Linked DNA regions of Astyanax mexicanus. Each later gene encodes a partner of the first gene's protein in a complex. Links are inferred from orthologs where the notes say so. Each region holds a gene or a part of one and is shown on either strand. Other genes may lie near its edges. The genes, in order: gpaa1 and pigs.

Evidence for each region.
Region 2: gpaa1 (region 1) and pigs share a complex: the UniProt entries of both Homo sapiens proteins name them as parts of the GPI-anchor transamidase complex. The link is inferred for Astyanax mexicanus from reciprocal best matches to the Homo sapiens genes GPAA1 and PIGS.

The regions. Positions count from the first base shown.
Region 1 is NC_064415.1:9,847,829-9,855,600, reverse strand, and holds the start of gpaa1 (glycosylphosphatidylinositol anchor attachment 1 protein), read right to left. Parts: upstream 3,004-7,772; 5' UTR 2,912-3,003; intron 1,112-2,911; exon of another isoform or gene 1,109-1,111; 5' UTR 1,100-1,108; coding exon 1,026-1,099; intron 795-1,025; coding exon 615-794; intron 1-614. Other genes in the region: lymphocyte antigen 75, read right to left, coding at 3,898-3,965, 4,058-4,166, 5,370-5,504, 7,308-7,444, 7,605-7,631. UniProt on the Homo sapiens protein: Component of the glycosylphosphatidylinositol-anchor (GPI-anchor) transamidase (GPI-T) complex that catalyzes the formation of the linkage between a proprotein and a GPI-anchor and participates in GPI anchored protein biosynthesis. Binds GPI-anchor.
Region 2 is NC_064424.1:13,017,304-13,025,056, reverse strand, and holds the start of pigs (GPI transamidase component PIG-S), read left to right. Parts: upstream 1-4,676; 5' UTR 4,677-4,728; coding exon 4,729-4,747; intron 4,748-5,099; coding exon 5,100-5,239; intron 5,240-6,473; coding exon 6,474-6,585; intron 6,586-6,676; coding exon 6,677-6,766; intron 6,767-6,885; coding exon 6,886-6,977; intron 6,978-7,086; coding exon 7,087-7,324; intron 7,325-7,753. Other genes in the region: aldocb (fructose-bisphosphate aldolase C-B), read left to right, coding at 1-132, 690-889, 1,454-1,546. UniProt on the Homo sapiens protein: Component of the glycosylphosphatidylinositol-anchor (GPI-anchor) transamidase (GPI-T) complex that catalyzes the formation of the linkage between a proprotein and a GPI-anchor and participates in GPI anchored protein biosynthesis.

The DNA.
Region 1 (7,772 bases):
GTGGTGTAAAGCAAACCCCCAACTGGACTCTAGAGCAGTGGAGACATGTTCTCTGGAGTGACTAATCACGCATCTGGCAATCCAATTGACAGGTCTGGGTTTGGTGGTTGCCAGGAGAAAACTGTACTTGTCTGACTGCATTGTGTCAATTGTAAAGTTTGGTAGAGGGGGGATAATGATGGCATGGGGTTATACTTCAGGAGTTGGGCTCGACCCCTTAGTTCCAATGAAAGGAACTCTTAGTGCTTCAGAATAGCACCAGTGCACAAAGCAAGGTCCATAAAGATATGGATGAGGAAGTTTGGTGTGGAAGAACTTCACTGGCCTGCACATTAACCTGATAAAACACTTTTTGGATAAATTAGAGCAACATCTTTGAGCCAGGTCTTCTTATCCAGCATCAGTGTCTTACCACCCAAAAATGTGCTTCTGGAATAATAATAACAAACCCCATAAAAACACTCATAAACCTTGTGGAAATCCTTCCCAGAAAAGTCAAAGCTGTAATAGGTGCAAAATGTGTGTGAAGGCAGACAAGCAAAAACTCTCAACACAAAGTGAACCGGACCAGAAATAGAACACGCCTTGTTCAGGACAAATTAGGTCTCACTTACCCAGCCTTTCTTTTGTGGCCTGCGAATTCCCTCCCAGTGGCCAAGGCTCTCTCTCCTGCTGGAAACCGTTCCTCCACCATGGTAGAACCCATGGCATTCTCAGACATGTATGTTCGTAGAGTAAAGGGTTCAAACGCCAGGCCCATGAACCAGGCAATGCCCGCCAAATAGCACACCACGCTAAGAAGTGAACCGAGGAAAAACAGAAGATCAGAGCAGTTAGAAGACACAGAGGAACATTTACAGAAATCAAAGCAGAGCAAACAAAGCTTTCTACCTGATTTTCCACCTGAACTGATTTAAACACACTATATAAACAACTCGGCAGATATCTATCTATGAAAAACAGCAAACTGCAAATACACAACACTAAGGATATTGACTAACTACGAATGAACACTGGAGACATACCATATAGGTGTGTTAAGGCGGGTGAGGAGAGTGGTCAGGGCCTTCCGTCGATTGGGGTCAGATAACAAACCCATGGTGTTCAACTGCTAAAATGGGAAAGGAAAAAAAATATTTATATTTGGAAAATACAATACAATTTTAGAAAGCCATAGACCGAGTCAATTTCTGGAGAAGTGAGAAGATTAAGCAGAGTGATAAAAATAGTGAAGTCTTTATATAAATACATTATATTGCTAAAAGAAATACCTGCCTGCCTGCATTAGGTTTGGGATTTAAAGCTTGGATGAAGCTGCTTAAACACAAAACCCCATTTTGAGCAAAACTTCAGCCTACCAGCAGACCAGGCAACATCCTATCATAGTACCATGCTGGAGTTCACTGAGCTCCTCAGAGCGAGCCATATTTTCATGACTAGGTGCTTGGTTTTATACACCTGTGGCAATTAAAGTAACTGGAACCTAAATACAATCATTTGCATGTGACAATGGCATTTAGACGAGTAGTGAGTGTGAGCAGGTGCAGTACAGGACAGGACTTTCTCTGTAGTCTGGCCTGTTTCTCCCTGCTGATGCTTTTCTGTAGGAGGTGGCTATCAGCAAGAGCCACATGGTCTTCACTGGCCTCGCCTTCATTAACCTCCACAAGCTTAGATCTGTTAGTGCAACAATGCCTAAAATGCTGTAGTTTTAGAGAAGCTAGCAAGTTTAATTTTTCCTCTTACTCAATGTTAATAGAACCTGCTAGACTAGTTAAGCAAGATGTTTCATTTGCTTTGCTAGATGGGTCTAGGAACTGACTGCTAATCTGGAACTGCTGGGTCTAGGAACTAACTGCTCGGTCTACGAAATGACTGCTGGTCTGGAACCACTGGGTTTAGGAACTGACAGCTGGGTTTAGGAACTGATGGCTGGGTCCAGGGACTCAGTCTAAAACTGCTGAGTCTAGAACTTGAACTACTGAGCCTAGAACCTACTGAACTGCTAAGCCTAGAACCTGCTGGTCAGCTCTTAGGCTCTACAAATAAATGATGTCTGCCACGCCATGGTTTAATGTAATTAACTATCTATCTGCAATATTGCATGTATTTAATTGTTTCTATAGTATTTATAATAATAAAAAAGAACTGATATTATATTACTGATACAATTAAATAAACATTTTCAAAGAATACAAATGATTTAATTTACTGAAATGTAAAATAGCAACATATTTTCTTGCACAAAAAATAAATTAAATGGAAAAATCCTGCACCCCTAATAACATTTTGATGAACTGTTTTGAACCTGCTGAGTCTAGAACCTGCTGAAATGCCGAGTCTAGAGCCTGCTGAAATGCTGAGTCTAGAGCCTGCTGAAATGCTGAGTCTAGAACCGGCGGAACTGCTGAGTCTAGAGCCTGCGGAACTGCTGAGTCTAGAGCCTGCTGGTCGGCTCTTAGGCTCTGCAAATGAATGGTGTTTGGCTTCCTATTGAAACTGTCCGTTCCACCATAAGAAGGACAGCGGTTAAAATGGGCAGCCCGAACACGCCGCTCTCATAGCCGCACTGTAAGTGCTGCAGTATTTTAGGTGGTTCGGAAAATTCGAGAAACCCAAGCCACAGTATTATAATTACGTGGCCCGGTTTTCTTATCTAAGGTTAAATTACCACTACAGGCCTTTCTCCACGCATCTAATCAACAGTTCCCCAGAACCGCGAGGCTAAATGAGGGTAAATAAATTAAAATAAAGCGCAAATACAGACAGGGCTTCGAGTCCAGCCCGTACTCGCCGCTTACACCGGCTTTAGGACTAAACCTGCGGCGGCCCTGCAGCTTTAATCTCAGATTATTAATCATCAGAGTCAGATTAACACATCAACAGTATTAATATTATAGGAGATTCTCACCTCAGCGCGGAAAACAGCGATAAATTACGATCAGAAACGAGAGAAACCAGGGCAGGGAGCGGCCATCTTCACCCGGTATCATGGGAAGCAAACCGGAGGAGCAGAGCCGCGCTACAAAAATACAAAATAAAAGCCCTTTTATTACCTAATTACATCTCTGGAAAAAAATTAGACCACTTAGAAATAATTCGTTTCTTTCGTTTTACCAAATTGAAAACCTCTGCAATATAATCAACGAGGAAGATAAATTATCACATGCCATCAAACCAAACTGAATTGATTGAATTTTTGCACTAGGATTAACGTACATTTATCCAAAAGCAGTGTGAAAGACTGGTGGAGGAAAACTTAAAATTAGGGCTTTTTCCCCAAATATTGATTTCTGAACTTCTAAAACTTTATGAATATGTTTTCTTTGCATTATTTGAGGTATGAAAGCTCTGCATGTTTTTTTGTTATTTCAGACATTTCTCATTTGCTGCAAAAAAAAAGCTTCTATTTTTTTTTCTTAATACTTTTATAAAATTGTATAAATCCAGGGTACAAATTGTTTCCACTTTTGTCCAATTGCATGATAATACATTTTTATTAATTTCAGGTTTGGGTCTTGGCTTTGCATATTTTAGAAAAATACTATGTGCATGCATATATAGTGATTTGTTGTATTTTACACTTTTCCTTCATTAAAATAGATAAATATATTCCCCCAAAAATTATTTCACATAAATTTTTTCCCTTTGCCGCAAGTGTCCTGTTGTGTGATGCTTGCAAGAACAAAAGTGAAACAAAGTAAATCATTACTTTTTTGCAAAAATGAATCAGGTTTTGTTTTTATTAATATTTTACAAAAGGTGTACAGAAAATGAACAATACATTGTTTTCAGAGATTAAGAAATTTTGCATTACATAAACAGAATAAAAGGTTAAGATAAAAAAAAACATCTAAAAATATATAAAACAGATGTGTGTTCATGGATTACAGGGCTTCACAGCTTCCTCACGCAGACAAATGGATTCCCAATATGACATTGACAGTCATTCCAGTTCTTTGTGGCTGTAGACAAAGAAAAACAAAAATTAACATTGAAAAGATTTTCCAGATTTTTGCTAATTGCAGTAATATAAAGTTTTAATGAATAAACGTACAGCCCCAGTTGATGGCTACACAGCACTCCCCATTGATATGATTGGGTTCACCAGGGTTCCATTTGCTGTATGTAAATTTTGTCCCATCAGACCAGATCCAGCTGTTCTTCTGTTATTTGTTAAAATAAAAAAAAAATAATTTTAGTTTATTAGAGAATCTAAATGAATGTGACGGCTTAATAAGTTGCTGTGGAAATTTAAGAGGAGTTAAAAACATTTTAAAAACCTTTAAATAGGAATTTTAGGCATATTTTCAGAGATGGGGTATGGGATGTTTAGGCTTTGTTTAAAATGGCTGCAAGACTCCATTGATGAAAATTATTTTTACTATTATCAATATTAATTTTTAGAAGGCAAATAAAAGAGTTTAGTTAGAGTCTGCAGTGTGCAACTATTTTACAGTCAAGCATGGAAACATAATATAACACCAGGGTTGTCCTAGTCAGGTTATTTTGCACCCCAATATATTTTAGCAGCAGTCTATATAGTATAAAGTATATATATATATATATATATATATATATATATGTATATAAGTATACAGAGCTTTCATACCTCAAATAATGCATTTTTTTTTTGCATTTTTAGCGAAGTGTTTTAAAAACAACTGTGACAGTAGTTCACTTAAAGTACAATGTATCATGTAACATTTTAGCAAGTAAATTAAATTACTACATGTAAAAAAATTAAAGTAAATTTTTTACTCGCTAAAAATTGTAGTACAGTAAATTAAAATGTAATGTTATACCCAACGTGTGCTACTTACAAAAGACAGGAAAAAGAAGTCTATTTGAACACTCCTGATGTTAAATTTATTTAACATCAATTCTTAGTACATTTCTAATACACCTTGTGTATAATAATAATAGTGATACAGTGGTAATAATCATTAAATGTATTAAAATTTTACTGTAAGTATATTTAAAAGATGAGGTTTAAAAGTTACTTAGGTATATTTTAAATAGTTCCGTTTTAGTACAGTTAGGTACACTTAGCACAATTTAAGTAAGACTTTTGTACTATTTTTATATATTTAAAGTATAATAAGTACAAAAAAAGTTGTCCCATTTTAGCACTCTTTAAATATACCGATTAATAATGTGGCCACAAGTACACTACTGTATTATGCTGTAGTATAATAATGCATAATAATGCATTATAATGCTTAGTAAACTTTAATCTACTTTTTTCCCACTAGGGTCTGCATGTTAAGTATGCATTTAAAAAATATACTTAAATGCACTTTTCTTTTACAAGGGTCCTCACAAGCCTTTTGTGTAGTTACTTTTGTTCGGCATCCATATTATCTTACCTTCTGACAGTTGGAGAGGCCAATCCATGTTTCTTTCTCGCTGGGGTCATAAGCACGGACCAGAGCCTTCACCACCTGATACTCATTCTCACTGTGTATCGAGGCCAGGTTTCCCCCCAGATTTATACAGTAAGCCTAAAAAGCCAAACAAAATATCCGTGAACTGCTGATCAGGCAAAGCCAGGCCTTTCACGATAAAATAGATTTTTTAATGGACGGTGAATTGTCTCCATTTTGGCATTAATAAAGGTTTATGCTCTCTTATCTATAATAGTAAAATCATTCAATTACATCATTTAAAAAAGTAAAGTAACTTTTGATAGTAAGGGAATAAAAAAATAGAATTAAAAAATGTTTAAATGTTCTACATAAAAACACTTATTTTGTAAGTAAAGTCAACACACCAGCTCAATCACTTTAATAGGATCTTCTAAGAAACTCCAGAACATGATTCTAGTAATCTATGCTCTTGAACTGCTTGTATTCAGCAAACTGTTTGCAGACTTTCTTGTGCATCAGCTTCAGAAGAAGCTTGCTTCTGATTTGATGCAGCGTGTGGTGTATGGGCAGAGCAATGCAGGCTGACCTCCCACTTCTTCAACCTCTGCAGCAATGATGGCTGCCTTTGGCCACCAAACTGTTGCTTAATTTACTTAGTTGAAATCTTCTTACAGTTTAGGCCATTTTTGTGAAGAGCAAACATTAAATTTCTTACATTCTCTTTTTTTTTTTTTTTTTTTTTTGCCATGAGGTGCGATGTTGAATATCCAGTGGCAAGTCAGAAAAAATTACACTTGAAACACCAAATACAGAGGACAGAGGACATCCAATCTATATGGCTATACAAGCTGTACACTAACTAAAGATAAAACTAGCATAAGTTATATACTAGTTTTATTTTTATAGTGTTTCCCCATGAAAATATATAATAAAATATTTGCAGAGCAGGACTGTGAGCGGGGAACTCACTTTTGTTAGATGCTGTAAATGCACATAATGTTAATAAAATATTATACCACAGTTAGTTCTGACCCTGCAATGTGATTGGCTGAGGGGCGTTCTATGAGTGCCATTATCAGCCAGTAATGCACTGTAACTGAAGCTCCCCATGTATTACTCTGCCATTTACAGGTAACCAAGCAACGAGGCAGTGCTTACAAGCCAAACAGCGCAGCTACAAACAGAGCAACAACGAATTTTTATTTTTTTTTATTTTATTTTTACTTGCGCAGTGTTTTAATAAACAGCGATAATGGAACTGTGGTATAATCGCAATAATACACTTGAGGTTTGTGCTATAATGTGTAATATTGGCACTGCTCTTCTGATCTACGTCCGCAGCACAGCAGTGCAAATATTACATGTTATAGCACAAATCTCAAGTGTATTATTGCTTAAATATACTGTAAGCATGACACTACATATGTAAGACTGTGATACCATTTCTTTTTTTTTTCAGATTTTTCCCCATTTTTCTCCCAATTGTCCCACCCCTTTGTGCGTCCCCATCACCGGTGACGCCCGTGACCCTTGAAGGATGCGGACGAGCACACGCCTCCTCCGACACGTGTGAAGTCAATCACCCCTTTTTTTGAGCTGCTGCGGATGAATCATTGCCTGAGCAGCTAGCGCGCTCGGAGGAAAGCACAGTGGCTCGGTTCCGATTCATCCGCTCACAGACGCCTCGTGCCGCCCAGTGCCACCTTAAGTGTGATGGGGAAAGAGCGCCATCTACCCACCCCAGAGGGAGCAGAGCCAATTGTGCTCCCTCTAAGCACCGGCAGCTGATGGCAAAGCTGCATGAGCGGGGGTTCGAACCTGCGACCTCCCGCTCATAGTGGCTGCGCATTAGACCGCGGGACCACTCGGCGCCCCTGTGATACCATTTCTAAATCTCTCTTTAATAATTTTTAACTAAACAGAAATCAGAGAGATTACCTCAGCGGTGACCCAGTCCACAGCTTGGCCAAAGTAGCTGAAGCAGCGTCCGTTGAATTTCACCCAGCCATACGGACAGCTGGGCTCACATGTGTCCTTCTCAGAATTCATTCTATTTACTGGGCTTTTGATTTGTTCTGTTCAGGAAAAAAACATGCAGGATTAAAAAATCTTGAGTTGGCTGGTGTTGGATTAGTGCAATTCCACTGTTATTTCAGCTTTTAAAAAAATGTAAAGCAAAGTGAAAGCAAATTAAATTGTCTTTAATTTGTGGAACCAAACCAAGTATCTTTTTACCTTGAACTAAAGCATGTAGATCAGCTTCTAGAAAAACAGACAGATAAACAGACAGACAGAAATCATGTTAATACAGTTATTGGTTTGAATTATATGTCAGGTTCTGTACCATATTTTTCGCACTATAATTTGCACTTAAAATCCTTAAATTTGACCAAAAATCATCAG
Region 2 (7,753 bases), on another chromosome or scaffold:
ACCTGGAGGGAACACTGCTGAAACCCAACATGGTGACAGCAGGACATTCCTGCCCCACCAAATACTCCAATGAGGAAATTGCCATGGCTACAGTCACTGCTCTTCGTCGTACCGTCCCTCCAGCAGTCCCAGGTAATGGATCACACTGTTTATGACCAAAGTGTTTTCAGGTAGTTAAAACTAACTTGTGTGTGTTTATATAAGAGTTGAGCTGTATTTTACCTGGAACTGCTGATGTGGTTCCTGTCTACGCAATCACATAAGTTGGCAATAGACTTCTAAGGTGCTTTCACAATGGCTCGCACTGCAGTAGGTCACAAAATGATATTCCATGATGAATACATTGTAAGGGCTGATATATTGTTCTGATAAACAGCAAACTCAAACTATATTATCAACATGCAAAAACAGAGGGAGCTCTTTACTCATGCTCATGTGTGGAAACAAGATTCGAGGTAGAGGTCCACAATGAACACACCAAGCTATCCCTTAGCCTGTGAAAAATGTGTGCAGATGAAACTGATAACCAACAGCTTTTTCACACATCACATTTTTGTCTATATTGCACAGCCCTACTGCAGCAAGTGACAGGGAAGCTCTGTTGCTATTATTGACATTTCTGTCGATGCTTTGGCTAAAGCAGGGCTAAAGCGGCTGTAGCTGAATGGATTTTTCTTTTTTTAATTTAGGAGTGACCTTCTTGTCCGGAGGACAGAGTGAAGAGGAGGCATCCATCAACCTGAACGCAATCAACAACTGCCCTCTGTCCAGGCCCTGGGCCCTCACCTTCTCCTATGGCCGCGCCCTGCAGGCTTCTGCTCTCAATGCTTGGCGTGGAGCCAGGGACAACGAGAAGGCCGCTACTGAGGAGTTTATCAAGCGTGCTGAGGTCAGTTATTCAAATATCACATGATATTCAAAACCCATTACTGCACAGAGGCATATTGATATTAGAGGTATAAATCTTACAGCAGTTTCATTAACCAAATCATTACTGTCAAGCAAAGATTTAATCTCTCATAACTAAAAGCCTGTGTCAATTTATTAATTTTTTAATAAAAATGTCCAAGTACATTTTGGCACAACTAAATTAACAAAAATTTGGTTTTATTTATTTATGTAGAGCCCAGTGCAGCATAATCTCAAATCTGTCTGTGTTCTCTTTAGATTATTTTGTTATAATTGAGAATGATTTTGAGAATGCAGCAAGAGACTGGATGTGCATATGTTTTTTTTTTTTTGTTTTTTTTTTCTCTGTAACCCTAAATCAATCAAGCTAATCAATATCTAATTAACATAATTACTTGGAAGCTGATGAAGGGAGACCGTGCCAATGAAATGTATAATTACTTGTAGCCTTGTGCTCTTCTGTTGTGATTTTCTCCATCTTACTAACAATAATATTTGTAACAAAAATATATATATATATATTTTTTTTTTCTCTCTTCCACAGGCTAATGGCCTGGCTTCTCGGGGCAAGTATGTGTCCAGTGGAACCGCTGGAGCTGCAGGACAGTCCCTGTATGTGGCCAACCACGCCTATTAAAGCATTCCCATCACCCGCCTACTCCAGCTGCCGCCGACCAATAGTATCTTTTGCCGCTGCTACCCTCCATGTCACCAACCAGTCACAGGCCTGCGCTGTTGTCTGTACTTTTTAGGATCGTCATTGCAATGTTCTACTACTAATGTTCTGTCTATTTAAAATGTGTCGAAAATGGAAAGGAGAAGATTCAAAGAAGAGATTAAGGGGGGCTTAAAAGGCTCACAGATGTTATGGGAGATGCTGAAAAATCTAATGTTATACAAACACTGGTACCAAAAGTGGTCATCGTGCTGTATTTAATAAGTAAATGGTATTGCCACTGCGGCTAGATATTAACAACTAGTTCAAGTTATATTTTTGGAAAACATTCTTTACTTTTTTTGTACAAGTGTTCAGTTCTGACACCCTTTCCCCAGCTTGTGTAGTTTTTACCACTGAGTCAGTTAAGCTCCCACATTCCCATAAAGTGCAGCTACAGCCTCTCCAGTTTGATGTGTTGTGTGGTCTCATCCATTCATGTTATGAGACATAATGCGTCTGCATTAGCACTGATCAGAATACAGTGAAAATGCTAACCAAGAACAAAACAATCAGTCTTATTCTACAATGAGGGGGTGAATCAGTGGAGAGAGTGGACCAATGGAGAGAGTGGCGGGTAGGTCAGTACACTTACGCAACGCACAGCCTCACAATGATCAACTAACACCGGACACTGAGCAGCATTTATTTAGTGTTCTATTCTCATCTATTGTAGTGATGAGTCTTTTGGGTTGTGTGCGTCTGTTTGCTTTAAATACAGAATACTAACTTAAATGGGTTGAAAGATATGGAAAATTATATGATTAAATGTGTTCTATTATTCTGTGTATTCCGCATGAGTGCTATGCTCTCTCTCCCCCCAGTGTGGTGACACGTTGGTACACTGAAGTACTATAAAGATTACCATGTAACGTAAATAACGTAATGTAAAGCATAATTCCATGGCTTAACTTTGCCGCTTGGACCAAACTTCTGCAGTTTTGTTTGGCAGAGGGAGAAAGAGCATAGTCACTGCTGGTTTGGATAAACTGTGATGTCATTGTGTTGTTGTCCTCTCAAGCACTTGGTGTGTAAGATTAGAAACAAAAACTATAAAATAAAATAATTTAAAATTCAAGACATGTCTGTTCATTTTTGAAATATACACTTTATCTGCTGTTGGAGTTTGAGAAAACACAGAGCATGTGCTTACATTATCTTATCAGGCCCAGCTTCCTACCACAGTGGATATACAAAAAGTGGATAATCCTTTAGTTTATGCTGTCTAAACTGTCTTTAACGTTATTTAAGCACAGCAGCTTCCATGTACAATGTGAAAACGTCTTTTTGTTAAATGGCTTCAATTATAAGAAAAATTCTACACTTTAATTAAAAGCCAAGACTTATTTTCTTCACCTCTTGAGTTGGCACGGTAACCGGCATGTCATGAAGTAGTGCGCACACTAACAAGCACATTCTAAACCACATCCTCTGGCACATATTAAGCAGCCATCACCACAACTCTAAACCAGCCAGCACGCTGTCTGACACATGCTACAAAACCGTTGGCACTTAATTTGACACAATCTACAGCAGCCTGCACCTCCGAAACCAGCCTGGCACACCATCCAGCACGTGGTAAATGGCTGTCGCATACTCTGGCACGTCCTAAACTAGCAGACACTGGTGCACCATCAAAACACAATCTAGGAGCATCTAGAGAGCACCATTCAACACATTTTAAGCATCCGACACAAACCTTCCAACGGCACATTTTAAGCAGTAGACACAATAACTGGTATATGGAGAGTTTTTTTTAAGCACAGTGTGCAGAAAAATATAAAGCTGAAGTACAGTAAAGAGTAAATCCTGTAAAAATGACACAATGCCAAAACTAAATCCTACTCCCACCAATAACCGAAAATCCTACTCTGGTGGTAAAACCTCCCATGTTGAGTCCAGAGTAAAATACATTTTAGGAGCCCAAGACTTGCTGTTAGAATAAAGAAGTCATTCAGACTTCTGAGATCAAAGGGGGAGTATAATTGAAATTAAACTGCTAAATATCAGGTATTCCTATGTGAACTTCTTTGTTCTAATATCGATCATTACGGTTTAAAGGCGTTCAGTTCTAAATGTTGCTTCGTTATATACAGCTAAACTAGCACTGCAAGATAGCGATGGTCATTTGAAGTGAAGCGTCGAAGCCTGCAGGTTCGAGGTTTGTATCGTTATTATAAAAATCACGTGACTGATTAAAAAACAAGGCCTCGGATTCTGTGGGACACGTGATCGTTTCATTTTGAGTGTCGCTACAGCATAAAGAGGGCTCGAGCCTTGTAGCACCTCGTGTTTTTTTTAGTTGACATAAGATCCATTTATTTACTGGAGCAAACAAAACATTCGTAAATATTTACATTTTCTTTAGCTAGGCTAGCACTGAGCTGGTTTGTGCACTTCGGGCACCTCAGTGCCATGTGAAAATGTATTCTCTAATGCTGAGTAGATTTTATTGAAGAAAAATTATCACCTCCACCCCAACACAGTTATAAAGCTTCTTTTTTTATAAGAATTAATGTTATATTTGTCCTTTTGCACATACTACTCTGATGCAGTTTATTGTGCTTAACTCCCCCAGTTCCATAAGCACTATTGTGTTCAGTGTCAGTGTACAACAACACTCAGCTATTTCCATTAAAAATACATTATTATATTAATTGAGACAGAGTGGCAAAATAATTTATTTTATACACAGATATTTAAGGATACTCTTGCTCAGGATTCATTTAATCTGTCATATAACTCTTTGAACAGCAGGTGTCACTGGTGAGAACGATTCATTGAGGCAAAACACCGGCTGCTTTAAAATGTGCTAGGTTGTGGTGGCTACAGGGTTGCCAGGTCCAAAAAAAAAATCCAGCTCAAACTCAGTCTAAAACCTTCCCTTTAAAAGCGTAAAATAACCACAACTCTGGCTGGCTGGTATATGATGTGTAGCCTGTGCTTGTTTAATGCACTGTTGAAAATCTATCGGCTACAATAGTTGTTGTTGTTTTTTACGTTATTTGTCCTTCCCGGGTACCCGTAGACTCATAACTCCGCCTCTCCTCTGCTCTGATTGGCCAGAGCGCTTTGTCAGGCCCCGGTAGTAGTTTCCTGTAGTCATGGCATCGATCGAGGCAGGCGAGTCATTTATTAATATTACTGCATTTTTTTCTGCATTAGAGGCTTTATTGAGGTTTATAACGCGGGGTATTGAGTTTGTACTGGGTGTGTTTAGTGTATGAGAATGTTTGTGTGTGCGTGTCTTTAGTAAACTGAAGCTGTAATAATTAGCTAAACACTAGTTACAGAAGCTCCCGTAGGGCTGGGTCTGCTGCTGCTGCTGCTGCTGAAGCTGAAGGGAAATCAGTGTGGGGGTTCTGGTAGCTTTGTTTATATAGTGTATGTATTATTACGCTGTGTTTCTGCTGTTTCCCGTTATTATGCGCACCTCATGTGTTCACAATTGCGCATTTTATACTCTAAAATACAGAAAAGCAGCGAGGCAAATATGCTGCCCTGGCCATCGCAGCTGTGGTCATCTTGCTGGGGATCCCTCTGTGGTGGAAGACCACCGAGACCTATCGAGCCTGGCTGCCCATCTCACAGATCAGCGAGCTCGACTCCTTACAGGTACATTCTGAGTCATTATACTATTAGATACACCTGCAATATGGGCTCAGAGTATCCATAAAACAAAATAGCCAGCTCATCATGCTACTGGACGAGCTCATTGATTTTATTTTAATTTAATTGTTTCGCTGGTATATAAGCCTTGATCAACCAGACCAAGCTAGCTAGATAATCAATATAACCAAATCTCCGTTCTGACACCCCCCCCCCTCCATTAACACAGTACTGCAACTTAGTACTGAAATCAACACAGAAATTGATTTTTTTTTCAAGAACTGACATGCACTCACACCCCATACCTGCACTACTGCTTCCACTTGCACTGTCATACCCACTTTAGTTCCCCTTACAACTGCGACATTTAAAGAACTGTATGCACTCATTCACCTTACCAGCCTTAAGCTTTTACACCTCATTTTTAATGTTCATGCATGCCCCCCCCCCCGCCAACACTATTGTACTTGTAACTTTGGGATGGAGAGTAATGTAATTTCAATCCTCTGTATGCCCTGTACATGCTATCAAGCTAGCTGGTTAGATAACCAATATAGTTACCCAAACTTGACCAAGCTAGTTGGCCAGCAAGACTGATCATGACCAGAATTAAAATCAACACAATATGCTGATTAGCATCTGGTTACCAGATAGCCTCCCAGCATGTATGGGTAGGTTTTTGTCTGGATGACCAGCTTTTCAACCACATTGACCATCAAGGACCAGCTTAGACCATCTCAGACCATCTCAAACCAGCTACCAAGCAAAAAATGGTCTTTAGCTTGACTTTCTTTGAGCTTATATAACCTCTTTAGAAAAGCATCCACAAGCCATCTGTCACCAAATATTGATTAGAGCCCTTAGACATTGGGCAGTAATACAGTGAATTTATTGTATATGAAGGATTTAAACCTTTTTATTGCTCACAAAAAAAAACTTTTCAGAAGAGTAGAAGATGTTGCTGTAGCAAAGGAAAAAGATGTTAAACTCCCTAATAATACTTGTGGTTTTTAGAAAAAATGTTGGAAAATTAGACATTTTGACACATAGATTACATTATGTCTATTTCCTACGAACCTCCATACTGGTTACTGATTATTTAGATTAAACTTTGTTTAAACCAGTTATATTAAGATTAAATTCCATGGACTCTTATAATTAAGCTATTTTTGTATTATTCTGTCAATGTCTTAAAATGGTTTATTGCAATACTTTCTGCAAAATCTTTCTGTGTATATAGCTCCAGTTAAGTGTTGAGATAGAGGTGGTCTTCTCTCGAGGAACGCTGAGCCCTGAACTGCAGTCAAAGGTTCCGCTCAGTCAGACCAGAGAGCAGGAGAATCAAGTAGATGGTAAGATGATTACGAAGTTTCTACATTTCTACAAGAAATGTCAGCAAAAATGAGCATGTTATGATCACCCCTCTTATCTTCTCTACTTCAGGAAAGACCATGCTGCGGTACAGATATGAAACCAAGTACCGCACCGCTACTATCATGGAAGAAGATGCATTGAACCAACCCAGTGCTGAAGGTTGAAAAATATTACATTGAATTGTATACACTGTTTTATCTTGTCATGTGATTAGTAATGATTAAGCATGATGATAGAAATACCTGCCTTCATGCTTTGCTTGAATTTCCTTTCTACAGAGGCAGATCTGTCCCTGCATATGCTTAGTGAGAGTGCCTGTGGGTCTGTGGTGGTGTATATCATCCCTGAAAGCTCCACCCTGCTGCCAGCGGTAAGACATGCACATACACTATTCCAATTGTTAAGGTGGGATTTAAGAAATGAGGGAACCTTTGTTCTTTAAATTATTGTGTAACAGGTTTCTCTCTGCTGTCTCTCAGGATATGAAGGTGTATGTTGGGAAGCGGCGCACTGCTCTGCTGCGTGCTGCTCCATTTGAGGGGGCTGCTGGTCTAAAGGAGGTGCTGTCTTCTCTGGAGCCTCAGGTCAAGCAAGTGGCCGATACCATGTCCTTCAGCCACCCGGACATTCTGGCTGCCCTGAGTGATCGCATCCGCATCGGCCAAGTCAGCAAGGAGAGACTGGCTGACAGCATGAGGGCCATAAAGTCCAGTCCAGGTGTGATATCTGTCCATATACAGCTCTGGAATCAGTTCTGAATCAGTTTCTCTGATTCAGCTATTTATAGGTATATATTTGAGTAAAATGAACATTGTGGTTTTATTTTATAAACTACGGACAACATTTCTCCCAAATTCCAAATAAAAATATTGTCATTTAGAGCATTTATTTGCAGAAAATGAGAATCGGCTGAAATAATCTCATATTTCAAACCTGAAATAATGCAAAGAAAACAAGCTCATATTCATAAAGTTTTAAGATTTCAGAAATCAACATTTGGTGTAATAACTCTGTTTTTTAATCACAGTTTTCATGCATCTTGGCATGTTCTCCTCCACCAGTCTTACACACTGCTTTTGTATAACTTTATGCCACTCCTGGTGCAAAAATACAAGCAGTTCTGCTTGGTTTGATGGCTTGTGATAA